Ovis aries: one gene and its partners. The protein of the gene in region 1 interacts with the protein of each later gene in a pairwise test. Links are inferred from orthologs where the notes say so. Each region holds a gene or a part of one and is shown in the gene's direction. Other genes may lie near its edges.

Region 1 (3,500 bases):
TACCCCAACACAAAAAGTTAAAAAGAAAAGTAAAACCAGACTCACATCTCGGTAAGTCATCGGTGCTGGATGTTTAGGATGGAAGCTCCAAGTGGCTAACGCCTGTGTCTCATCACGCAGGCCAGTGAGAGGCGTGTTCACCTCGTCGTGTCCCGCCAGGTTCGGCGGCAGAGTCCTGACATCTTTCAGGAAGCCAGCTGGAACAGCAACGGCAGCCAGTCCCCAGGGCCAGGGGCCAGGAGCAACACTCCCAAGGTGAGGCCCAGCCGGGATATGTCCACTGGTCCTGCAGGGAGCTCTTTCTTGGGAATCCTACACACTTGAACATTTCTAAGTGTCATCTCTGGACTTCATCACTTAAACACTGTTTGACTTGTCTTGTAAAAAACAAAAGCCCCAAATCCCATCTTCGCGACCTGGTGAGATAACAGGTGTCTCCTGTCCAAGGAGGAGAGGGAAAGGTACAGGAGTGTTTTGAAACTGGATCGTGAAAACCAGACCTCATATGGGGACCTAATTTCTAGTCTAAGCCAAATGGATGTCTTATTTTTAAAACAGGCGTTTTGTTTAAGGATGGTTCCCATTTATGTTGAAATGAGGAAGGTGGCTTGGTTTCTGGCTTTTGAAGTACCCAACCTGCCTGAAAATGAATGATTCTCTGCTATCTTTTTTTTTTTTTTGCTGCACCACAAGTCAGGCAGGATTTTAGTTTCCCAACCAGGGATCAAACCCACGCCCTCTGCGGTTTGGAGCATGAGCGTTAACTACTGGACCACCAGGGTTGTTTCCCCCTTCTATTTTTAGTGTGTTTATTTTTTGCAAGAATACCCAGGAAGATAATAAAAACATTCAAGTTCAGGTAACATTAGGGAGTAGTGGGGATTGGGACAAATTAGAGTGTATGCCCTTATGGTTTTCAATTCCAGAAAAACTTTAAAACACTGTGGATGAAGCAGAATGCCTCCTTCAGGTCAGCAATTTGTAGCATCTTTAAGTGAGGTGACTCAGGCCAATGTGTACTTTTGCGTGTGGCTTTTATTTGAGGAAGTACTGTACCCTCCCCATTTGGATGGGTATCTAAGTAACACAAACCTTGCTTAGTCCTATGCCTTGGCTTGGCATCCTACCGTGATGGCAATGAGTTTCTAGCTGTCATTTCTCCTGAGACCTGGTTTCATTAATCACTTGTCACTAAACTCTTATAGGTAGCCCATTCTTCTTGCAACAGATATTAGGAATGCCTACATTCTATATCGGGCTGTATTTCAGTTTGGAATCACTCACAAGTTGGAGTTTTTGAGCAATGTATGCAGATTTTTTATTTTGGAATATCTGTTTTGTATACTGTTAACTACATAGCCTGCACCTCGCCTTCCTCCAGCCAGCCAGCCAGCCAGCCATAAATCCATAAATTTTAGGTTTGTTTACAATAAGCAATCTAGAAAAACCAAGTACCTCCTGCTAAAACCTTTTATGGATAATGACTACCTGGTGTCTTTTTGATAATAAATACCATTAGTGTTTAAACTAAACCAATGGTATCTGTTAATGGAAAACTGGCTTATTAGCTCAATTATTTATTTAAAGTTTTAGTGTGAGTTAACTAGACCATATTATATTCTGGTTCATTAAACCACTAAGAATGTGGCTTCCACCAGCACTGTGGCTTTATAATCCCTTCCACCTAACCATCATGAATCATGGAAATAGGGTAATCTGATCAAATTTTTGCTGCAACCTTCTGTCATGTGTCCAGTTTCTGGAAAACATACATAACAGACTGGCCTAGTGGGAACTTGTAATTATTTTCATTTTAATTTATAGTTCTATCTGCCTTCTGAAATGTGCCCCCCCCCCATACACACAGTGGTATATTTAAAACATGTAGACATTTGATGATTTAGTTTTTCATGACCCTACTCAAGTGTTTTTTTGGCTTAGGAAGTAATATGGCTTTTTTAAAGCAGGCACTTAATGATTCAAAGAAATACCAAAAGAAGGGAAACCAAGATTTGTGAAATAGAGAAGTTTTTAGGCAATTGAAAAGCTAAAGGACGATTGACAGTATGGTTACCTCTGTAGGGGAGAACTAATGCTTACCTACACAACCAGTCTCTACAGGGCACTTCAAAGTTCTAAGGTTTATATAAACACACCCCCGATGTTAGAAGTACTAATTGCAGCATATACCTTGCTATAATTATTAATTTCCAATTTAATTATTATTCTATTACTATCAAAAACAAGGTGTGCCAACTTGCAGTTTATCCATCCATTTATTCAACAGATGTATACTTATTGTCATCAATGTGTTAAATGCTATGCTCAGTGCTAGGGATACACTCACATGGCATTACTGTATATAATAAAACCATTACAAGAGACATGGGTTATTTAAAACCATAGGAAATCATGAGGTAATAAATGCGCAAAGATCCTAGGTTTATCTTGCTTCATAATGAAGCATTAAAAATTGATTCTGCAAGCATTAGTTCTGTATTATGAAAACCATCAAATTTACAGAAGTTTGACTATAGCCCATTTGGTTTACTGAATACATAATATATTCACCGAGTTCAAAAGATGGAAAGCATAGTTTCTCACCTATCCCTGCCCTGCCCAGTACTCACCTCCACCACTTTTTCTTTCAGAGCTCCTTTATGAAAATGCAAAAGCTAATAAAAGTTCTTATTTCAGAAGCACGCTTACATTTTGTTCTGTGACGTGATTATTTTTGTCAAATTTAAAAAATTTTTATTTCTTTAGATAGAACTATCAGCTATGTTTTGAACCATAGACCTCCTTGAGGTTTGATCAGGTGTTACATTGATTTGCAGTGCACATGCTGACTTAATCTGCTTGGTCACTGCCCAAGCAGGAAAGAGAATAACTTTTTAGAAAAATATATATTGATATATATTCACTGATATATATTCCTTGACTCACTCTTAATGCTTTCAAGATAATGTTGCATATGGCTTTGATGTTTTCAGTCTTGTGCTGTTGAATCAAAATCACGATTCTCTTGTTTTAGAAGGTATTCTATTAATACAATGTGTATTATGCAATGTGTATATTTTATGTAATAAAATTAAAGGGCATAACTGCACATTATTTAGAACGCTAAAGTAAGAATAAAGTTGTCAGCTGGAGAAAACCCAGATATTGGTGAGTTTTTAGAGCACAGTATCTATGAAGTTCATTATTTTTCTTTGTGGATTTCTGTGATTACCTGAATAAATTAAACTGAGGCCATTTAATTTAAATGTGGTTACTCTTAACTTAGAAAAAGGTCCTGATCTTCATGAGTGACAAGCGTTTCATGAAATGCTGACTCACTGTATCAGGAATAAATGAGTCACATGAAAAATTCTGGGTGCAGTTCACTTTGTATGCTTAACATTTCTCCAGTGGTCTCCACCCTATTCCTCTTTCCATTTTTTACTTCTCTATTTGAAATGTAAATGTTCCGAGTCACCCAATGGCATTTGGGATAATGT
Region 2 (4,280 bases), on another chromosome or scaffold:
TAGAAGGTTCTTGGGGGCCCTAGCCAAGCATTCGTATTATTGCGCTGCTGCTGCTGCTGCTAAGTCGCTTCAATCGTGCCCGACTCTGTGCGACCCCATAGACAGCAGCCCACCAGGCTCCTCTGTCCCTGGGATTCTCCAGGCAAGAACACTGGAGTGGGTTGCCATGTCCTTCTCCAATGCATGAAAGTAAAGAGTGAAAGTGGTCGCTCAGTCGTGTCTGACTCTTAGCAACCCCATGGACTGCAGCCTATCAGGTTCCTCCACCCATGGGATTTTCCAGGCAAGAGTACCAGAGTGGGTAGCCATTGCCTTCTCTGTGCTAATATCATCCAAAAAATGCAACTCAAAAGGCTTTGCTTTTCTGTGGGTGTGTGGCTGAGGGGAGGTCACTTTGAGGAAGTGGTTGGGTTTTCAAAATAACCAGATATGGGGAAGTTTGGAGCTTGAGAAATCCCCCCAAATTCCCACCATCTTTGCCCTGCTTGCCATTCACCCTTGATGATCCCATGGTCCTGTGGTCATGTAAGAAGTGTCCTTTGCTATGCCCAGGTGTGTTCGAGGTCTCTGAATACAGGGCCAGGCGTTCCCAGCCAGAGAAGATGTCAGCAGCAGGTATGCAGATACATAAATTTAAAGGCCAGGCTGCTGCAAAGGACCTCGTTGTCTGCACACGGCCTGGACCAGATGCTCTGTCCAGGAGGCCTAGGGGGAGAGGAAAAAGGTGGCTCACCCAGGCTCATTTACAGAGGCCCTGCATCATCACATCCAGGAGCCCAGCACACCACTGGGACACTTGACTCACTGCCCTGGTGGTGCATAACCTGTCAATTCAGCAAGACTTGGGTAACCTACCATGCCTGGACTTGGGGTTGCGGGAGAGCAGTTCCCTCTTGGGCCCTTCCTCCCTCCTCTCTAGGTCCTTCAATGAGGAAGCACAATGTTGGCAGGTCACCCTTGAGGGGCCCCGCTTGAGACCTTGCCTAGAGTCCCTCAGGTCCAGGGGGTGTGCAAGGAGCCGCCGGGCTGCTTGGGGTGGGCCAGGCCCACGATGGCAGGACCAGGCCGCTGCCTCCACCTGTGTCCTGTGCTGGCAGCCAAGGGGCGCAGTTCTATGCCAAAGTACTTTCCTTCTAAGCAGTGGTTAAGGAGTCCGCGGCAGGCAGTGTCACCACTAGCTGGGCAGTCAGCCCACCGGGAGGGATGCGAGAGGGGCGGGGCCCGGGTCGGCGAACCTGCTTAGGACACAGCGAGGTGAGTAGATACCTAGCGTAGCCCTGAGGCCCCCGCTCCTCCCCAGAGGGCAACTCCTAGCCCGCGCGCACTCTGCGCACAGTGCCTCCAACCCAGGCCTCGGTCCCGCCCTCTGTCCGGGCCTAGCTTCAGAGCCGGCCTCCCCACCTGCGAGGGGCGGGACGAGCGTGCAGCGCATGCGTATGGCGCCGGGCGCGCATGCGCGGGGCGCGGAGCGCGCCTGCGCACTGGCGGCGCGGCGGTATTGCTGCTCGGCGGGCCGGGTGGCCGTGGGGCCGGAGGCGGCCATGGGGCAGGGGGCGGCCGCGGTTCCAGGGGCCGGCTAGTGACGGCGAGCGGCGGCGGGGCGCCGGGACGCGCGGGTGCGGCCTGGCGAGGAGACGGCCCCGCAGGCGCCCGGGGCAGCGAACGGTGAGTGCGCATCCCCTCGGCCCGGCCTTCTGCCCGGGGTCGTGGGGTCGGGGTCGTGGGGTCAGGGTCTTGGGGGCGGGGCGGGAACGACCCTGCCCACTGACTGGCCACACACCCTGCCCCGGGCGCCGAGGCAGGTGTCCGGGTGGCCGGACCTCGACCCCCGCGACCGCACTGTGAACGAGGTGGCGGGCCCGGCCCTCACGCGGGGCGGTCAGTTAGGGGTCCACGTCGCGCTATTCATCCTCGGAAAGCTCCTCTGTGCTCGGAACCCAGCGCCCAGCCGACGACCCCTGAGGCCGGCGGCTGGCCCGTCTGAGCCGGGTCCGAGCCCCCTGTCTCTCTGCCTCTGCGTCCGCCGCGCTCTGGTTCTCGTGGAGCCTCCTCACCCGCCGGGGACCGGGCCTGAGCCCAGGCGTACGCATTTCCTGCTGGACGGCGCCCTGGACTCTGGCCGTGACCTTTGCCCCGTTGCGGGAACTTGAGGACGAGGACAGGGACCCGCAGGTGCGGCCGACGGGCTACGGCCCTGGGGCTCGGGTGCCCAGGTGTCCTGGGCCTGGCATTCAGGTGGGCGTGGGATGGGCCCGAGTCGGCCCCGGGGGTGGACGGGGCACCCCGAGCCAGGCTGGAAGGGAGGCCGGGTTCACCCGCAGGATGACTGGAGGGGTCGGTTCTCTGCGGGGGCTGCGGGCCACCCCCCAGGCTCTGACCGACAGTGCAAGGGGCCCAGTCCTGCGGGCAGGGCTGCCGGCTCGTCGTTTGCGATGTCTCCGACCCGCTGTCTCGGCCCAGAGTTCAGTGCGTGGGGCCGGGCAAATGCGTGTGTAGACTGTTGGCGAAAAGAGGAACCGGCTGAAGGTGGCCCGGAGGCGGGCTGTTGTGCAGAGAGCTAGGTGTGCAAATACCTGCTTCAGCCCAAACGCGTGCGAGATCTCCCAGGGGTCGGGTCTGCCACGCTGAAGCCCCCCTCGCGTCTCTGATCCTGTTCTTCCGCCCAGCAGCCTCTGCCCCTCTGTGGGCCCAGTTCTGTCAGGTCCTGGCCAGCACTGAGCATCACCTACTGGCGGGAGAGGGGAGATTTAATAGGTACCTTTTATCGCGTCAGTGTTAAGGAGGGGTAAACTTTGCTTTTTCGTTCAGTATTTCAGCAGGTGTATGTTGAGAGCTCGCACTGGGCATCATGTTATGTTTATATTTATGTGTGACTTTTGCTTATGGGCATCACGGTGTGTCTCCTTTCCTTCTTGGTCATTATGCTCCAACACTTTTCTGTTAAAACTTCCCAGTGCGGATGTCTTTTGAAAATGAACTGAAATAATTCTAGACTCCCAGAAAGTTGTGAAAAACAATACAGAGGAACACCTGCACTTATCCCCACATCCGTGGCACAGTGACGTGAACCCTGGCACCTCCATCACACCCCTTGCTGGGTTCACCACTTTTCCCACCACTGGGCACAGCTGTGTGGCTTGCCACCACAGCCTCAGATCTGGTGTCACCTAGGGAGCCCACCCCAGGCTCCCCACACTCCCTGGCCACCAGTGATCTGTTCTCCATGCGCTTGTGTTTTGTCATGTCAAGAAAGGCGTGTAAGGGACTTCCCTGGTGGTCCAGTGCTTTTGACTCTGAGCTTCCACTTCACGGGGCCCTGGTGGAGAACTAAGATCTCACATGCTACGTGGTATGCCCCCCAAAAGAAAGAAAGAATGAATGAAAAGCAAGTTATATAAATGGGAGCATTTATCATGTGACCTTCCTTGCCCTGCAGTCAGCCTGGAGTCACCCAGCTGGTTTCGGAGTCCATGTCCACTCCCTCTGGTGGCCGGGCCTGCTCACCAGTGGGGACGCTTGGACTGTCTTTGGTGTTTGGCTGCTGCAAATTAAAAGCTGCTGTGAATGTTGAGGTGCAGGTTTTTCTGTGAGCATCAGTGTTTCTCTGGGGTAAATGGCCAGGTGCACTTGCTAGGCTGTCTGTTTCGTTTTTAGTTTTTATAAGACGGCGTCAGCCCTTTCCAGAGTGTCTGGCCATGTTCTGGTCCTGGGTGGTGTGTGAGCAGGCATTGCTCTGCGACCTCCAGCGCTGAGTTGTCTGGCTGTTCCGGTCAGTGTGCAGTGGCATCTCACTGTGGTTTTAGTTCCTTCTGGCCCATCGGCATGGAGCATCTTTACACCTGCTTCTTTACCATGGGCACATCTCGTCTGTCCAGTCAGCTCTTGTCCACTTTCTAATTGGACTGTCTGTTTTTTACTGTTGAATTTTGATAGTTTTTGCTATTTTATAGGTACAGATCTGTTGGATATCTAGTTTGAAAATATTTTCTGTCTATAGCTTGATTTGTGGGTTTTTTTTTTTCGGCTTTCTTTACAGAGTCTTCCACAGAGCAAGTTTCTAAGAAGCACAGTTTACCAATTTTTTTTATCTTTTATGAAGTGTGCTTTTTATATCATGTACAAAAAAGATTCTGTCTAACTTTAGGTCCCGAAAACTTTCTCCTGCATTTTATTTACTTGTGTATTTATTCATGGCCGTGCCATGTGGCTTGCTGGACCTTAGTTCCCTGACCAGAGATCAAGCCTATGCCCTCAGCAGTGAAAGCTTGCAGCCCTAACCA
Region 3 (3,025 bases), on another chromosome or scaffold:
TTAAAAACCCCAAGGAAACTGGCTGCCAACTATTCAAATTTATAAGAAACTTCAAAAGCTGGTGCAGAAGATCACTATATCAACAGGAAGATTTTTTTTTAAAGGCTGTACCCCGTAGCATGTGGATCTTAGACCCCCTACAGGGACTGAATCCATGCCCCTGCATTAGGAGCTTGGAGTCTTATCCACTGGACCCCCAGGTAAGTCCCAATAGGAGGACTCTTATCACAAAATAAGTAACTAGGATATATAATGGTAAATACATCATTCAAAACAGCAGTGCTATCCAAAAGATACGTCAAAAGAAAACGAACAACAATGCACATGATGTTTATGGAAGTAAATGTAAAAAAAATTACTGACAGACTTAGGTAAAAGAAATCTTACATAGAGCAACATATCTTCTGTTTATTCATGATGAGTAGAGTATTGTACAGTAGTCAATTCCCCTTAAATTATTTATAGATTTATGCCTTGCTTGATTGGTCTGGCACCCTATCAGATTAGTAGCTCACTTACAAAGCATCAAGGTAAGAAACTGAGTGAGGACTGAGGGGAGAGCCCACTCCAAAATAAGAGTCCACAAAGAGCCGTTCCCCCCCCCCCCCCCGCCCACTATCAGTCTTGGTAGGCCCTAGACATGGTTGCTAGGCTCAGGCTACCCCTTACTTCCTGCTGGGGGTTCCGAGGGAAATGAGAACCCTGGTCTGTGGCCAGCTGACTTAGCTCAGCAGAGGAAGAAGTCCCAGGCCCTGTCAGGAGTCAGGTAAGACTCCCTCATGTGAGTTCTGCACGATTTCTCCGCCTGCCAGGACAGACAGGGAGGCCCTTCCAGAACCGATTCCCCCCCGCCCTCAATGCTGGCAAACCTAGTTGGGCGATACCGGAAGTGCTCTCCCTGCCTTCCGCCACGGCAGCCGCGGAGCTCGAGGCTTCAGTTGGAGAGGTGTGGCCTCGTATATCTACAGAGGGACGAGTTCCAGGATTGGACAAGTGTCCAGGTAGACAATCTTTGTTAGAAGTAAAGGGACACACTCCTCCCAGAACTCGGGTGGTCCCGTAGAGCCCCTCCCTATCTTAACTTGCGCCATCCCGACCGTCAACCCCCGAGTGGCTCAAAGTGACCGTTAGGCCCAACACCCCGCTACTTCCACCAGAAGAATTTGTGGGATGGGAAGCCTTGGTCTGAAGGGGAAGCCTCAAGTCAGCAGAAGGAGTCGTAAAAGGACTGGTCAGGAGTCAAGTTCAGTGTTCTGGGTTAGAATTAAGGTGACAAGCCCCTGATGAACAGAGGCGGCCCACAGAGTTCCGTTGGCCTCTGTCTTGTGGGTTTTTAAAACGGTACCCTTAAGGGGATCAACAAAAGCAGTTGTTCTTGGAGCCAAGATAGAAGAATCTCCCTATGGAGGCTATACACGCCTTCTTTTCCTCTGTCTTCTAGGGTGAGCTCTTCATCAACCTTGGCAGCTTGAGCAACTGTCTGCGGTCCCTGACCAGTCATCATGCCTCGGGGTCAGAAGAGTAAGCTCCGTGCCCGTGAGAAACGCCGCCAGGCCCGTACTGAGACCCAGGGCCTAGAGGTTGCTAAGGCCTCTGGGGCAGCAGCAGCAGGAAAGTCCCCTTCTTCGGTTTTTGGGGACAGACCTGAGAATCTGCCTGCTGCTGGGACACCCAGCACTCCTGAGGCACCTGAGGGAGCCACTGGTGCTACTGCAGCTAGTTCAGGCACCAACTCAGCTGAAAATATCAATAGCCCAAAGGCGGAAAGCACAAGCTTCCCCAAGGGCGCTGAGAGCTCACTCAGTGAGATTTTAAATAAGAAAGTGGTTCTGTTGGTGCAGTTCCTGCTGCAGAAGTATCAAAAGAAAGAGCCAATTAGAAAGGCAGAGATGATGAAGTTTGTTATCAAACAGTACAAGAGTCATTACAATGAGATCCTCAAGAGAGCTTCTGATCATATGGAGCTGGCTTTTGGTGTTGATTTGAAGGAAGTGGATCCTACCAGGCACTGCTACACCCTTGTCAACAAACTAGACCTCTCCTATGATTCAGCTCTGAATGAATATGAGCACATGCCAAAGACCGGCATCCTGATGATTGTGCTTGGTGTGATCTTCATGAGAGGCAACTGCGCCCCTGAAGAGGCGATCTGGGAAGTGCTGAATATGATGGGTGTATATGCTGAAAGGAAGCACTTCATTTATGGGGATCCCAAGAAGGTCCTCACAGAAGATCTGGTGCAGCTCAAGTACCTGGAGTACCGCCAGGTGGCCAACAGTGAGCCTCCACGCTATGAGTTCCTGTGGGGCCCAAGAGCCCATGCTGAAACCAGCAAAATGAAAGTCCTGGAGTTTTTAGCCAAGGTTCACGATACCGTCCCCACTGCCTTCCCATCCTGGTATCAAGAGGCTTTGAGAGATGAGGAAGAGAGAGCCCGAGCCAGAGCTGCAGCCAGGGCTCGTACTGCTGCCCTGGCCAGTGCCCGCTCTAGAGCCAGAGCCAGCACCTCCTCCCAGGCTAAGTGAAATTCAAAAAGGTGTGTCAGCATTCTAACAGTGGAGGGCCAGGGTGGGACTGGAGAAGTGTATACCATCCTGGAGTTCCTGGTATATATTGCTAACTTAAAATTTTACCTTTCTCTCTTTTTTTTCTTTTTTAGGTTGAAAAAGAGCAGTAACATTCTAAGCTGTGGATGACCAGGGTGGGCCCACAGGGAAAATTATAATATCATCTTTGTGTTTCTGTTCTATATAGTAAACAAGAGTTTAATCTTTTCTCTTTTCTTTTTCTATTTTTTCCTCTTTCTCTCTCTTCCTTTCTTTCTTTCCTTAATGTTTTCTTTTAAAGAAGATATACATTTCAGAATCTAAACTTAGTGATTTTGGTTACATATTAGATTTAATCTAATAGATTTAATATAAGAGTTTTATTATCTTGCAACATAAATTGGGAAACCTTTAGTATATATTGAACTAGAACAACACAACATGGCATGGTAAAAGGCACTTCTTTGGACATGTGAAAA
Region 4 (2,310 bases), on another chromosome or scaffold:
CCCGGGGCCTCCTCGCTCCCCGGGGCACTCCCCAACCGCTGCCCTCTCTCTTCCAGAATGGCACCCAGAAATCGTGGGACTTCATGAAGACTCACGATAGGTGAGGGCCTGGCCTGGCTGGCACCAGGGAAGCCCCAGGCTGGCAGGGACATGGGGCCCAGGGGCAACAGAGCCACAGCCCCCTCTGCGTTTCTGAGCGCCCCTGCTCTCCCTGCCTCTCACCGAGGGGCCCCGTGTGGACTGCCCAGGTGCCCTTGCCCTGGAGCGCCAGGAGCATGGGCTGGGGGCAGTGTGGCTTTAGCTGGCCTGCAGGGCCCACGTGTCCTGTCATTCCTGTGCCCTCAGCTATTGCTAACCCCAGCCTGTCCAGCTGCCCAGTGTGTCCTTCCCGCTCCTGCCACCCGGCACATACAGGAGGCCTGGGTCCTTACCTGGCAGTGTGACCCCGGCGAGCTCTGTCCTGGCCTGGGCCTCAGTCTGCCCATCTGAGCAAGGGACCCAAGCCTCCAGGGCTGTGGAGGAGGGTGGTGAGGTGAGGGCGTGCTTCTGTGCTGAGCTCAGTACCCCCCACCCCCAGCGTGACCATCCTCATGTTCAACTCTTCCCGGAGGAGCCTGGTGTTGGTGAAGCAGTTCCGGCCAGGTGAGGCTGGGGGCGGGGAGGCTGGCGGGCTCACGTTCAGTCCCCTGGGGTCCTGGCATCAGTGTGCAGACCTGGGAGGGGGCTCCGGGAGAAACAGCCCTGGCAAGGGGGTCTGGCCAGAGCAGGTCACGTGGAGCCGGCCGCCACAGGCTGTGACGCGGTTGCCTCCCCCCGCCAGCCGTGTACGCTGGCGAGGTGGAGCGTCTCTTCCCGGGGTCCCTGGCCGCTGCGGAGCAGGACAGGCCCCAGGCACTGCAGGTGGCGCTGCCTGGCTCGGCGGGGGTCACCTATGAGCTGTGTGCCGGCCTCTTGGACCAGCCCGGGCTCTCGCTGGAGGAGGTGGCTTGCAAGGAGGCCTGGGAGGAGTGCGGCTACCGCCTGGCACCCTCTGACCTGCGCCGGGTGACCTCGTACAAGTGAGTGGGGCTGGGAGGGTGGCCGGCAGTCGGACAGCCCTGGAGGCGGGCTGGGACGGGCCGCTGGGGGGCGGCGAGTGCTTCCTCCCCAGGGCTGTGCGAGCAGGGCGAGATCGCTGTGTTCTGCAGCTCGGGGTTGCGGGAAGCTTGGCCGGAGCCTGAAGCCCCTGGCCCCACTGTGCCCCCCCGGACCCCTGCGGCCCCCAGCCCCCACTGCAATTCCCTGCGGCCCTGCCGCACCCCCCCCCCCCACCCCCATGGCCGGCTCCAGTGGCAGCTGCTGCTCACAGATGCCCCTGCTTCCTGTGGGATTAGGCACCGGGGGCTGGGGGTGGGGGTGAGCACAGAGGGCTCTGACAGCGGCTCAGGAGCGAGGGGAGGGCCGAGTCCTGGGCCAGGGTTGGCGCTCTGCGCTCCCAGGGAGGGGTCGCAGTGTGGCCTGCCCCGACCAGAGTCCAGGTGCCTGCCGGGCACTCCAACCCCCCTGGGGACATCTTCCGGGACAGGATGTCAGGTGAAGCCCACCCTTGCCCTGGGAGTGTGGTGATGGGTCCCCAGCCCTGGTGGCGTCCCGAGCAGGATGAGGGTCTCCAGCTGAGCCCCAGCCCCCAGCAGCCTGCTCCAGAGGGGTGGGGCCTCAGCTCTGCCCCCCAGGCCGGCCCAGGGCCGCCGCAGCGACACCTGGGCCCTGCCGGGTGTCCCTGGCCTTCAGTCTTGGGAAGGAGGTGGGGCAGGGCCTGGCGCCCCCGCGCTCCAGGCGGGGCTTCGCACCCCAGGGTCATCCGGGCTGCATGAGGGCCCAGTCATCTGCAGGCATCCTCCATGTGCCTGGCCAGCGGCCACTTGGCCTCTGAGCCTTTGGGCCGGCGGTCCAGGGGCCCTGACTTCAGGTAGGGATTGACTCACTGGGCAGGCCAGCCCTGGGGGCAGGGTCCCCAGAAGGGGTGAATCTGGGTGGAGGCCTGGCAGGGGCGTTGCATGGAAAAGGCTCAGATCAAGGGGACGAGCAACCCAGCCTCGGCCATGATCCAGAGGGTACTGGGGAGCCACGGAGGGTACTGGGGAGCCACGGAGGGTTCTGGACAGCAGGTGGTCAGCTCAGACTGCATTTTAGGGACAAGGGGAGGCAGGCCTGGGAGGGGGAGAGGAGGCCAGCGAAGCTCCTCGCCCCGGGAGCTGGACGGCAGCCGGACAGCAGCCATACAAGCCAGAGCTAAGCTCGCACAGCCCCGTGGCTGGGCCCAAAGCTTCC
Region 5 (3,500 bases), on another chromosome or scaffold:
TAGCAACTTAAAAAATGCTTCATTCACATCAAAAAAAATCTTAAAAAAGAAATGAAAGCCATCATCCTGTAGATAAGGAAACTGGGACTCAGGTTAAGAGACTTGCTCAAGATCCCCCAGCTAGGGATTTCCCAGGTGGTTCAGCGGTTAGGACTCCTGTGCTTCCACTACAGTTTGACCCCTGGTTCGGAAACTAAGATCCCACAAGTGGGGTGGCACAGCCCAAGGGAAAAAAAAAAAAAGATCCTGCAGTGGGTAAGTGGCGGACCAGGCCCTTGAGGTCACACCCGTCACGCTGTTAAGCCTAAGAACTCAGCTCTAAGGCATCTGCCCTGTTGCTGCCTCCGGGCAGGAGGCTGTGTTGTGAAAGTGGAGTTACAGTTAGAGGTGGGCGGGGTGGATGGGGCAGGGGAGGCTGGCAGGAGAGGCCCAGGAGGATACAGCAGGGGAGGGTGTTGTGAGTGGATCTGGGGCGGGAGACAGCAGGAGGCATATTGAAGAAATGCTGTGAGCCTTCCTGCTGGGGAGATGCGAAAGTGGCGAATCAAAGATGACCCCTAGGCTTCTAGTCTTTGTCATAGTGGTCTTTGGACACTGATGGGTATTAACTGACACAGGAGGGGAGGGGAGGGGAGTTCTGTAGTCAACAGCTCACGAAATGCTGGTTAATCAAATGAAGCAGGTTTCTCTGTTTTTTTTTTTTTTTTGGTCATACCACTTAGCATGTGGGATCGTAGTTCCCCAACCAAGAATTGAACCTGAGCCTCCTGCCTTGGAAGCAAGGAGTCTTAACCACTGGGCCACCAGGAAAGTCCCTCTGCTCTAGGTCTTCTCACGGCCTGTAGTGCTGGGGGCATCTTTACAAGTGGGAGAGCAGGCAGCAAGCCTCGGAAGTAGCTGTATTGACCGGGGAAGAAGGGTGGTTCCTCGAAGGCCAGAGCTGTGTCTTGTTCATCTCTGCCTCCGGCTTGGTTTAGAAAAAGGCCTTTAGGAAATGTGAGACACTCAGGCGATGTTTGAATGAGTGACTGAAAGAATAAACGAAAGCCAGTTTGGGGGGAAGGTGGAGGATAAATTCCAGACAGCACTTGTGTTCAAAACGGTGTTAGGCTCAGTTGTACTTCTGTTCCACAAGGCAGGTGGCAGGGGGGCAGGGAGGGGGGTCTGTCCATGTCGAGGTGGATTTGGGAATTCCTTATGGAGATCCTCATGGCCAGGAATGCAATTGATTCTTGATTGTAGAGTCCAGACCTGTGGTTTAGCCCAGGCTGCTCATTAGAATTATTTGGGAAGCTTAAGAAATATTCATGCTTGGGTCCCTTTAGAAATTCTTTGTTTTTTGGCCACGCCATGTGAGATCTTAGTTCCCTGACCAGGTATTGAACCTGTGCCCCCTGCACTGGGAGCGCAGAGTCTCAACCACTGGACCGCCAGGGAAGTCAACATTCTTGAAATAACATGATAATAATGGAGAACAGATTAAGCAGTTGCCAGGGGCTGGCTAGGGATTTAGGGGGGAGTGTGGTTATAGAAGGGTGGCACAGGGAGCCCTGCCGAGATGGGAATGCTCTGCCTCGGTTGCAGTGGTTCCATAAACCCACATGTGGGGTGAAACGGCGGAGAACTGCGCGCACGGACGCACGTGGAAGGACTGAGCTGCAGCTCTCTGGACTGCACCAGTGCTGTTTTTTGCTGTTGCACTAAGCTGTGGTACAAAACATCTCAGAGTAAAAGATGCTACCGTTGGTGAAAACCAGCTGAAGGGTACACGGGACCTCACGACATGGTTTTGTTTTGTTTTTTTTTTTTCAACTTCCTGTGAATCTATAATTATCTCAGTTTAAAACATGACAAATTATGGGCAGTGCTATCAAGGAAACCCAGAAGGGGCTGTGATGGAGATTGAGAGGAGAACCATTGAATGGGGCAGCAAAGAGACCTCCGGAGAGAAGTGATTACCCAGAGGTGATCTTTAAGGCGAGAGTGAAAGGATGAGGGGCCCGAGGGGGAACACTCGGCCGTGCTGGCTTTCCCCAAAGGAGACTCCACAAGGAGGAGTCTCCTGGCCAGAGATGTCAGAGCGTCTCTGGACAGAACAATGCTTGGAAGGAATGTCTTGCTGTTCCTCCTCCCCTCCTCTCCTCCCACCCGTCCAGTCCCTTCCGTTGATGCTCTTCCCTCCTCTTCTGCCATCAGCCTGGACAAACTGCTAGATGCTGGTCTCTACACTGGAGAAGTGACTGAAATTGTAGGCGCCCCGGGTAGCGGCAAAACCCAGGTACAGCTGCAGCCAGCAGCCAGGAGGGTTGAGGGAGGTGGATGCACAGTCCTGGATCTCTGGGGAAGCTTCTGCCAGGATGCTGTGATTTCAGAGCTTGGAAGAGAGAAGACGGGTGGTGAGGAGTGGGACTTGAACTCGCGTCTCAGGGCCCATTCGCGCCTCTGGGATCTGGATGAGATTTGGTGGGGGGCTCCTGTTCTGGGCCCTTCTTGAGGGCTCAGGTTCACCCAATGGCCCGTCTCTACTCAGGTATGTCTTTGTGTGGCAGCAAACGTGGCCCATGGCCTGCAGCAGAACGTCCTCTACATTGATTCCAACGGAGGGCTCACAGCCTCCCGCATCCTCCAGCTGCTTCAGGCCAGGACCCTGGACGAGGAGGAGCAGGTAAAGGGCAGGAAGGTTGGGTTTCTTGGAGGTTCTGACACCATAAGACCCCATTATCTAACACGGCAAGAATTTGGACCATTTGGGTGACTAGTCATTTCTGGCTTTGAAACTTGCTGTTCCACTAATGCTTCCTGTATTGTAAAGCCTCCCCTTTATGACATCATCCCAGTTGGATGCTACCCACAAGGATCCTTCCTAGAAACCCAACCCCTGGCATCCCCTCTGTGTTTCTCCCCCATATCTTGCCCAGGGCAGACACACAGATCACTGCCACTCCTTCCCATGGAGCTCTGACTTGGCTCTGCAGCTCAGCACCCAGGCAGCCAGCATATTGTGAACTGGCCCAGCAGACAAAGCCCACTGCCATCTGTACCTGAGTCCTTGTGTCTAAGCGCCTCTTCTCTCTCAACCTCAAAATCCCTCTTCATCGTGCGTGACCCCCGGCTCTTCTTCTCCAAGGCCCTCCCTTCTCTCTCCTGCCCCCTCAGGCAGGAGCTCTCCAGAGGATCCAGGTGGTACGTGCATTTGACATCTTCCAGATGCTGGGCGCGCTGCAGGACCTGCGAGGCGCTGTGTCCCAGCAGGTGAGCCTGACCTTCTGCCTTCCCTGCTCCCCGCAGCCCACCTATGCTGTCTGCGTGTGGGCAGGTGTGCAATCCGGTGACTCTAGCTGTGCCTGCCATTCCCAGGATGGGATTTCTGGATACTTAGTTCTCTCTTTCCTCAATTCTTTGCCTCCTCGTTCACAAGCCCATCTTCCCCACTAAAGACTAAGCCTCTTCCTTGAGTGCAAGGATCAGGTCCTGTTCATCTCTGCATTCCAACTAGGTCC
Region 6 (4,075 bases), on another chromosome or scaffold:
CAAAGATCTGTATAGCCAAAGCTATGGTTTTTCCAGTAGTCACATATTCATGTGAGAGTTGGACCATAAAGAAGGCTGAGTGTGCAAGAATTGATGCTTTTGAACTATGGTGCTGGAGAAGACTCTTGAGAGTCCCTTGGACAGCAAGGAGATCAAACCAGTCCGTCCCAAAGGAAACCAACCCTGAATATTCATTGGCAGGACTGATGCTGAAGCTGAAGCTCCAGTACTTTGGACACCTGAATGTTAAGAGCCAACTCATTGGAAATGACCCTGATGCTCGGAAAGATTGAGGGCAGGAGGAGGAGGGGGACAGAGGAGGAGATGACTGGATGGCATCACTGACTGGACGGACATGAGTTTGAGCAAACTCTGGGAGATGGTGAAGAATAGGAAATCCTGGCAGGCTGCAGTTCATGGGGTCGCAGAGCCCTGACGTGGTTGAGCTACTTGAACACCAACGCTTGACTACATTTCCAAGACCAAAAAGACATGTATGTACTGGCCGCCTCCCTTATCTTTTTGGAATAGTTCCACAGAGGTGAAATGTTATTTCCCCAGCTATAGTCCCAAGTAAGCTGCCAGAATAAAACTGAAACTCACTTTACTTACATTGTACTTTTTTTCAGTTGACAAGCACAGCAAGACACTTTATAGGTAGGGAAGAAAAGAGAGTTGTTAGTTCAACGACAGTCCTTTTTGAGTCAATAATTTCTATAGGTCACACATAGGCGTCGAGCCAAGCTCCATCTGGAGGGAACCGCGGCATCCAATGCTGCGCAGGGCAGAACAAAACCTAAGGCTGGGGCTTCTAAATCTGTAGCCCTGCTCCTGTGGAAGGAGGTCTAAATGTGGACTAAAGCGTGAGCCGCTGTCCGCAGGTGCGCTTCCCCGGGGAGTCCGTCTAGAGAAGTCACTCCCAAAAGGACATTTCCATAAAAGCGACTGCCCTGAGGCCTCGTACACCGCCACGTTCTTACGGCTAGAAAATCCAACAGGATTAGATCCAAAACGTCCATCTCAGACACGGGGGCAAATAAAAAATACTCTAGCCTTGATCCATCCGGGGATGCTTGCTCTGTACGAGCCGTCACAACAAAGTCGTCTTTGATTTGCGCACCCGGTCGCGGAGCACTGTGGGGCTGGTAGTCCAGGCTGGGGCGCGGCTTCCGGTCACTGAAGACCTAGAACTACATTTCCCAGAAAGTACCGCGCCTCAGCGGAAGCGGACCTTGTACGTGGGCTTCAAGACTTCCGGCGGAGCCGGGGGGCGGGACCCGTGGCGGAGGCTGGAGCGAGGCGGAGGGATGCAGCGCCCCGGGCCCTTCAGCACCCTCTACGGGCGGGTCCTGGCCCCGCTGCCCGGGCGGGCCGGGGGCGCGGCCTCTGGCGGAGGCGGGAACAGCTGGAGCGTTCCGGGTTCCCACGTGCAGTTGTCGGGACGCTCGCAGTTCGGCGCTGGCAGCACCAGTACCGGCGGCAGGGAGACTAACACCGTCTGTCCGGGCCCGTCCGCGATGTCAAAGGCCGAGGAGGCCAAGAAGCTGGCTGGCCGCGCGGCCGTGGAGAACCACGTGAAGGTGAGCAATTCAGGGCTTGGGCGCCCGTGCTGGGCGGTATGGGCTCTTGCTGTGGGTTCTGAGCGCTGCCAGGTGCGCCAAGTTCCTGGCAGAGCGGGGGCTGCGTGAGAGGGGAGAGAGTACGCACTTGACCTGCCTTGAGACCTGCTCCTTCAAGGCCTTTGAAATATGGAATTGGTTGGGGCCGAGTACCCTAAAGTTCAGCTGTCTAACGACTGCTTGTCAGGCCAGATAACAGTTTGCCAAGTGGAGCGTGGTGGTGTGTCTGATGTTCGGAGTGGGGTTAGGAGGGACTTAGCGCCTGGCTTCCTTATCAACAGATAAAAGACTGGGACTGCCGAGAAGTGTTCACCTCGCTTCACTGCCCAGGGAAGTCGGTGGGGAGCTGATTTGAAAAGTGTTTTGAAATTTAACTCCAGGGAAGTGCTTAGCTGGGCGCGCACCGGCTCTTGAATGTACTTGCCGGAGGAAAGCGGAGAAGGAGCCAAAGACTTTAAACCTCCTCCTTTTGGCAGGGCTCGGGTGGACACTTGAAGTCTGGAGATCCTCTTTAAGGTCGGGATGTGGAGATGTTTAGCTGTTATTGTGAGGTCGTAATGTAATGTCAGTGAGGTCGTGACCCCACTTGTTGGCTAAGTGGCGGGTGTGGTCCTCTTGGTGGAGTCTTTTGGATTTGCTGTCAACAATCATGTTAATTGTAAGAATTTTGGGAGCTGGGAGCCAAGTGGAGTATCTCTGCCCTTAGGTGGAGTTTCCTGGGTTTCATTGGCTTTTAGTGTTTTCTGCTTTCTGGAAAGTGGTATCAGATTCTCTTTTCTCAAATAATGGTTCTTTATTCTTTACATTTGGTAATGCTTTCGTGTACGAAGTTATTTTGCTGGATAGATGTTAGATCCTCCTACAGCCTGGCCAAGTGGGAGGGCCGCGTGGTAACCTGTGGCTCAGCGTGTTCTGTAGGAGGAATGACCAAGTATCCTCCCAGACCCAAACCCAGTGACTCCTGTTCCAGTGCCCTTCCCCCAGTTACATAGCTGCCCTGTTCTGGTGTAATAGTCTGGTTAGCAATAGGAATTTCTATGGGACACAGAGATAATGTGGAATGTGTCATCTGGCTCTCCTTTTGGGATTTAGTGTCTCAGCTGCAACATTGGGACAATCGGCTGAAATTTTAAATGCCTCTAGAAAGTGAATGGTAATGGGCAAATGAAATCTATACAAATAGAAAAGACCTGTATGTTAGATTTCCTATTATCCTATTACTATTATGTCTTCCTGACCATTGTGGTTTTTTTTTTAAATTACGTATTTGGTTAAATAAAAATTTGCAAGCCCCCACCTCAGGCCAGAGCCCCCAGCCACCTGTTGCCTGAAGTTGCCAGACCATCCTGGGGAGATCTCCATTGACCTTTTGGCATTCACCCCAGTCTCAGTTAACACTATTTGCCTTTGCAGACTTCTTTCCTGAGATGTCAACACTATTTGAATGTTTTTTTAAAATAATCTTATTTATTTATTATTTATTTTTGGCTGTGCAGGGTCACTGCTCCAGCTGCTTTTCTAGTTGGTGGTGAGCCGGGGCTGCTCTCTAGTTGCAGTGTGCAGACTTCTCATTGCAGTGGGTTCTCTTGTTGCAGAGCATGGACTCTAGGGCACAGTTTTCAGTAGTTGCAGTTCCTAGGCTTTAGAGCACAGGCTCAATAGCTGGGACGGACAGGCTTAGTTGCTCTCCTGGGATCTTCCTGGACCAGAGATGGAGCCTGTGTCCCCTGCATTGGCAGGTGGATTCTTTATTAGTGAGCCGCCAGCGAAGTCCTGTATTTTGTACTTCTTACCACTGATTCATTCATTTCATTCCTGTGCGGGAACTTGTTGAGTGCCTGCTATGTGTCAGGTAGTTGGTGTGGAGGCCAGAGATGTGGCTAAAGGGAGGAGAAGATGCTGATCCTGGATATTTTGCAAACAAGATCACTGAATTCCAAGACAAGGTTATTGATCACAGTCCTGTACCTGATTGTCAAGGTTTAGCAGCCCTCTCCAGGGTTATCCTTTTTCTCCATCTAAGGCCAAATTTTCCTTTAGCACTTTGTGTCTTGAAATTGTTCCCTTGCTACCCAACTCAGATTTGACTGCTCACCCCTTGAAAGACAAGTTTGCTTTCAAAAGAAAACTTGGGAAAGAAAAAATTGCTTTGTTCTGGAGGCTGGCAACCTGGCGAGAAGGCCGACTTCTAGAACCTACTTTACTAAGGTGAAAGGGGACGTTAATTGCAGTTAATCATTTAGGAAGGGGGTCAGAGTCTTATCTTCCACTGTGTGTAGACCTTCTGATTGGCTGATGGTGAGGTAACTGTGTGGTGGTTAGCAGCTTTCTACTTGATTGGGGCCTTAGTTCCTGTGGAAGAACTCAGAGACTGTTGTCATGTATATTCCTTGAGGAGGAACCAGGCCCTTGCCTCATGGCTTTGTTTCTTGACTGCTCCTCCCTTGCTTCTGCAT
Region 7 (3,500 bases), on another chromosome or scaffold:
GCGGGAGACGCAGTTGGCAGCCTCTTGAACTTTGCATGCACTTTCATCCCAACATGCTATCTTTCTCTTTGGCTGCTGAGAGGCCTCTGATTCTTCTTCCAGGCTGTGGGCAGAACCCTGTTCGACAGGCCAGTGTGGGTGCAGGAATCCCCTACTCTGTTCCTGCGTGGAGCTGCCAAATGATCTGCGGGTCAGGCCTGAAAGCCGTGTGCCTCGCAGCCCAGTCGATAAGGATAGGAGACTCGAGCATTGTTGTTGCAGGAGGCATGGAAAATATGAGCAAGGTAAGGCCTCTGAAGAGATGGCGCTCCCTGACCACTCCTGTCCATTGCCACAGCAGGGTTGACTGATGGTCAACCTGAGAGCTGGAACCAAACAGGGAACAAGGAAAATTTGGATCGAACCTTGATCCCTGCATGCATGTTAATTATTCACAGTGATTGGGAAGTTCAAGTTAAAGACAAAGCCGGTCAACCAGTGTGATGTCCTTAGTTTTACATTTCTTTCTCATTGTGAGGAAAAGTCAAAAACCAGATGTTGCACTCACCTTCCTGCACGGGACAAAGGGTATTCCTGGGGACCACAGCCTGTCGACCTTTTGTAGGTACACAGTGTGGAAGAGAGGACCCACTGAGCGGTGCCCATCTCCAGTGGGCTTGCCAGGTGGGATTGGCTTCGTCAAGTTCCGTCCCTCCCGCTGACACAGTAGGGAAAAAGGAAAACGTGTAACCCCTGCTTCCTGCAGCAATTCAAGGTCTCCCCTGGGGAACCCCTGGGCAGAGGCCGGTTCAGCCCTCCTTGCTCAGGCTTGGGAGGAGACAGGGCGAGAGTAGCAAGCACAGAGATTCCAGTGGGGCCGTAGCACCACCTGTGTGGTGCTTGATGGGGTGCTTTCACACAGGCAGTCATAACAGCCCTGGGTTTGGGTTTTATTCCCAATTTACAGGTAGGGAAACCGAGGCCCAGAGCCAGGATTCAAAATAGAGATCTTTAGGCTCTTCAGTCTTTCCTTTCTAGCTGCTGTTGAGTTGGGAGGAGTTGAGAGGGGGCTTCCCTGATAGCTCAGTTGGCAAAGAATCCCCCTGCAGTGCAAGAGACCCCGGTTTGATTCCTAGGTTGGGAAGATTCCCTGGAGAAGGGATAGGCTACCCACTCCAGTATTCTAGCCTAGAGAATTCCATGGACTGTATAGTCCATGAGGTTGCAAAGAGTCAGACACGACTGAGCGACTTTCACTTTCAAGAGGAAATCCCTCCACTGAGAAATCTCTTCCCATCGGTTAATCAGGCAACCTGATTATTCTCACTCTAGGCATTGTACGTCCCATTAAAATAAGGAACACATTGTTAGCATCACTTAGGCCCATTGATGAGCCCTTTGTGTAACAGATTGCTGGTTGCTTTGGAAAGAATAAATGAGCTTTTTAAAGAAATAGGACAAAATTCACAGGATTATTTGATGGAAAGCTGCAAATGCATAGGGAAGAGTTACAGGTGGGTTTCCAAGGGCAGGTAGGGTGCAGTAGCCTATTAATTCCAGGGGTCTTCAGGCCCTGGGCCCTGGTGATGAGGAAGATGAGCTGGGATGGAGGAGAAGGGTCACAAGGGGGACTCAGTGAAGACTGAGGAACCACTGGATGGTTTTGAGTGGGAGCCTAAGCAGAGGACTAGTTACAACCACGCCTGGTCCATCTGTATTTCTTGTTTCCAGGCTCCTCATTTGGTTCACTTGAGGACGGGAGTCAAGGTTGGGGAAAAGCCCCTGGCTGACAGTATACTCTGCGACGGGCTCACTGACGCATTCCACAATTACCACATGGGCATTACAGGTGAGGCGGACATGGCTGAGAACATACCGACTGTGAAAAGGTTAGAAGGTCTGTAACAGCTGGTTTTGCAGGTGCTTTTCCTCTTTAAGGGTAGGGACCGAGTCCTCATCACTTTGTATCCGTGATGACGGGGATAGTTCCCATTTGATGAAGCCAAGTTGAGGAAATATTCCCTTTCTCCTTTGTGACTCCTTGATTGTCAGGGAAGTTGGTGGTGGGAGGAACCTCAGAGTTCCTCTGGGTCAATCTCTCATTTCATCATATGAAGAAACAGGGCTCACAAATAGTGGCTTTTGTGGCAAAGGCAAGATCAGAGATAAGCTAGTACTTCTGGTATCAAACTCTATTCGTTACACTACACAATCAGGTTTTCATCCACCCACAAGGCTTGCAGTATTTCAACTGCCTTTTCATTATTGTATTCATTATGGTGATCTGAATAACCATTTGACCTAGAATAAGCCAAAACAATTTCGACAAAGCAAGAAACAGAGGGAGCTTTGATCTTTGGTATTACCACTGTAGCTTGCTCCGAGGCTCAGATGATGGTTAGCATGTTTTTCGCAATAAGGTATTTTTAAATTAAGGTATGTACATTGTTTTTTTAGATATAGTGCTACTGCACACTTAATACACTGCACATACTTTACAGTGTACAAATATGGTGGATATCACTTTAATTAAGTGAGCAAAGTTGACATAACCTGAGATAAACTCCAACATGTATCCTGATAAGATTCAGTGAAAAATTATCATCATCAACATCCGATGCTTTCCCACATTATATTCTAATGCATTAGAAGGATTGGTGACATCTGACAAAGGAACTGGCCCCTACCCTTCAAAAATACCAAGGTTAAGAAACATGGACCTAGGCTAAGGACTAGTTGCAAATAAAAACTGAAGAGATTGACAGTGAAATGCAGTGTGTGGTCATGGATTGGATGATACTGAAGAAACAAATTAGCTATAAAGGGCATCCCTGGGACAACAGGTGGACCTTGACTGTTGACTGAGCGTGGAGATAACAGTATTTTATCAGTGTTGCATTTCCTGATTTTGGTAGCTGTGGTTATGTAAGAAGCTGGCCTTTCTTGTGGGAAATATACACTGACATTAAAATTTAGAGATAAAGGGGCATGATACCTACAACTTTCCAAAAATGGTTCAGAAACCGAATGAGAAAGCAGATGGGGCCAAAAAATAGGAACAATTGGTGAAGCAGCGGAAAGGAAATTTCTGAGAGGTATTTTGTAGAAGGGAAAAGAGAAGGAAGGCAGCAAAGAAAGAAAACGGCTCCTTAAGAATCCTTGCAACCTTTCCACACCCGGTGGGAGGCAGGAGTGCCACAGACGACTGTCTCAGCCCGCCAGCGGGCCCGCCGGTGTTGGCCATCAGCGCTTGAGCCACCTCCAGAAGCCATCTGAAAATGTTTGGGTTTTGTTTTTTTTCTTTCACAGCTGAAAATGTGGCCAAACAATGGCAAGTGAGTCGAGAAGACCAGGACAAGGTTGCAGTTCTGTCCCAAAACAGGACAGAGAATGCACAGAAGGCGGGTCATTTTGACAAAGAGATCGTACCAGTTTTTGTATCTTCTAAAAAAGGTGGGTGTGTCAGTTGTAAAGGTTTAAAGGTCAACAGGGCTGTCTATAAGGCAGTCATTACTAGTCTA

The links.
Region 2: the proteins of LNX1 (region 1) and NADK interact in binary tests that used the Homo sapiens proteins (3 or more experiments, as listed by UniProt). The link is inferred for Ovis aries from reciprocal best matches to the Homo sapiens genes LNX1 and NADK.
Region 3: the proteins of LNX1 (region 1) and melanoma-associated antigen B18 interact in binary tests that used the Homo sapiens proteins (3 or more experiments, as listed by UniProt). The link is inferred for Ovis aries from reciprocal best matches to the Homo sapiens genes LNX1 and MAGEB18.
Region 4: the proteins of LNX1 (region 1) and NUDT14 interact in binary tests that used the Homo sapiens proteins (3 or more experiments, as listed by UniProt). The two-hybrid records come from large-scale screens. The link is inferred for Ovis aries from reciprocal best matches to the Homo sapiens genes LNX1 and NUDT14.
Region 5: the proteins of LNX1 (region 1) and RAD51D interact in binary tests that used the Homo sapiens proteins (3 or more experiments, as listed by UniProt). The two-hybrid records come from large-scale screens. The link is inferred for Ovis aries from reciprocal best matches to the Homo sapiens genes LNX1 and RAD51D.
Region 6: the proteins of LNX1 (region 1) and RPIA interact in binary tests that used the Homo sapiens proteins (3 or more experiments, as listed by UniProt). The link is inferred for Ovis aries from reciprocal best matches to the Homo sapiens genes LNX1 and RPIA.
Region 7: the proteins of LNX1 (region 1) and ACAT2 interact in binary tests that used the Homo sapiens proteins (3 or more experiments, as listed by UniProt). The two-hybrid records come from large-scale screens. The link is inferred for Ovis aries from reciprocal best matches to the Homo sapiens genes LNX1 and ACAT2.

The regions. Positions count from the first base shown.
Region 1 is NC_056059.1:69,695,614-69,699,113, reverse strand, and holds part of LNX1 (E3 ubiquitin-protein ligase LNX), read left to right. Parts: intron 1-120; coding exon 121-255; intron 256-3,500.
Region 2 is NC_056065.1:50,237,701-50,241,980, forward strand, and holds the start of NADK (NAD kinase), read left to right. Parts: upstream 1-1,480; 5' UTR 1,481-1,665; intron 1,666-1,766; exon of another isoform or gene 1,767-2,235; intron 2,236-4,280.
Region 3 is NC_056080.1:24,366,237-24,369,261, forward strand, and holds melanoma-associated antigen B18, read left to right. Parts: upstream 1-1,455; 5' UTR 1,456-1,502; coding exon 1,503-2,525; downstream 2,526-3,025. UniProt on the Homo sapiens protein: May enhance ubiquitin ligase activity of RING-type zinc finger-containing E3 ubiquitin-protein ligases. Proposed to act through recruitment and/or stabilization of the Ubl-conjugating enzyme (E2) at the E3:substrate complex.
Region 4 is NC_056071.1:67,272,519-67,274,828, reverse strand, and holds part of NUDT14 (uridine diphosphate glucose pyrophosphatase NUDT14), read left to right. Parts: intron 1-56; coding exon 57-100; intron 101-577; coding exon 578-642; intron 643-820; coding exon 821-1,058; intron 1,059-2,310. UniProt on the Homo sapiens protein: Hydrolyzes UDP-glucose to glucose 1-phosphate and UMP and ADP-ribose to ribose 5-phosphate and AMP. The physiological substrate is probably UDP-glucose. Poor activity on other substrates such as ADP-glucose, CDP-glucose, GDP-glucose and GDP-mannose.
Region 5 is NC_056064.1:14,699,884-14,703,383, forward strand, and holds part of RAD51D (DNA repair protein RAD51 homolog 4), read left to right. Parts: intron 1-2,196; coding exon 2,197-2,278; intron 2,279-2,530; coding exon 2,531-2,665; intron 2,666-3,156; coding exon 3,157-3,252; intron 3,253-3,500. UniProt on the Homo sapiens protein: Involved in the homologous recombination repair (HRR) pathway of double-stranded DNA breaks arising during DNA replication or induced by DNA-damaging agents. Bind to single-stranded DNA (ssDNA) and has DNA-dependent ATPase activity.
Region 6 is NC_056056.1:59,367,177-59,371,251, forward strand, and holds the start of RPIA (ribose-5-phosphate isomerase), read left to right. Parts: upstream 1-1,275; 5' UTR 1,276-1,307; coding exon 1,308-1,580; intron 1,581-4,075. UniProt on the Homo sapiens protein: Catalyzes the reversible conversion of ribose-5-phosphate to ribulose 5-phosphate and participates in the first step of the non-oxidative branch of the pentose phosphate pathway.
Region 7 is NC_056061.1:83,780,247-83,783,746, forward strand, and holds part of ACAT2 (acetyl-CoA acetyltransferase, cytosolic), read left to right. Parts: intron 1-102; coding exon 103-284; intron 285-1,710; coding exon 1,711-1,828; intron 1,829-3,288; coding exon 3,289-3,432; intron 3,433-3,500. UniProt on the Homo sapiens protein: Involved in the biosynthetic pathway of cholesterol.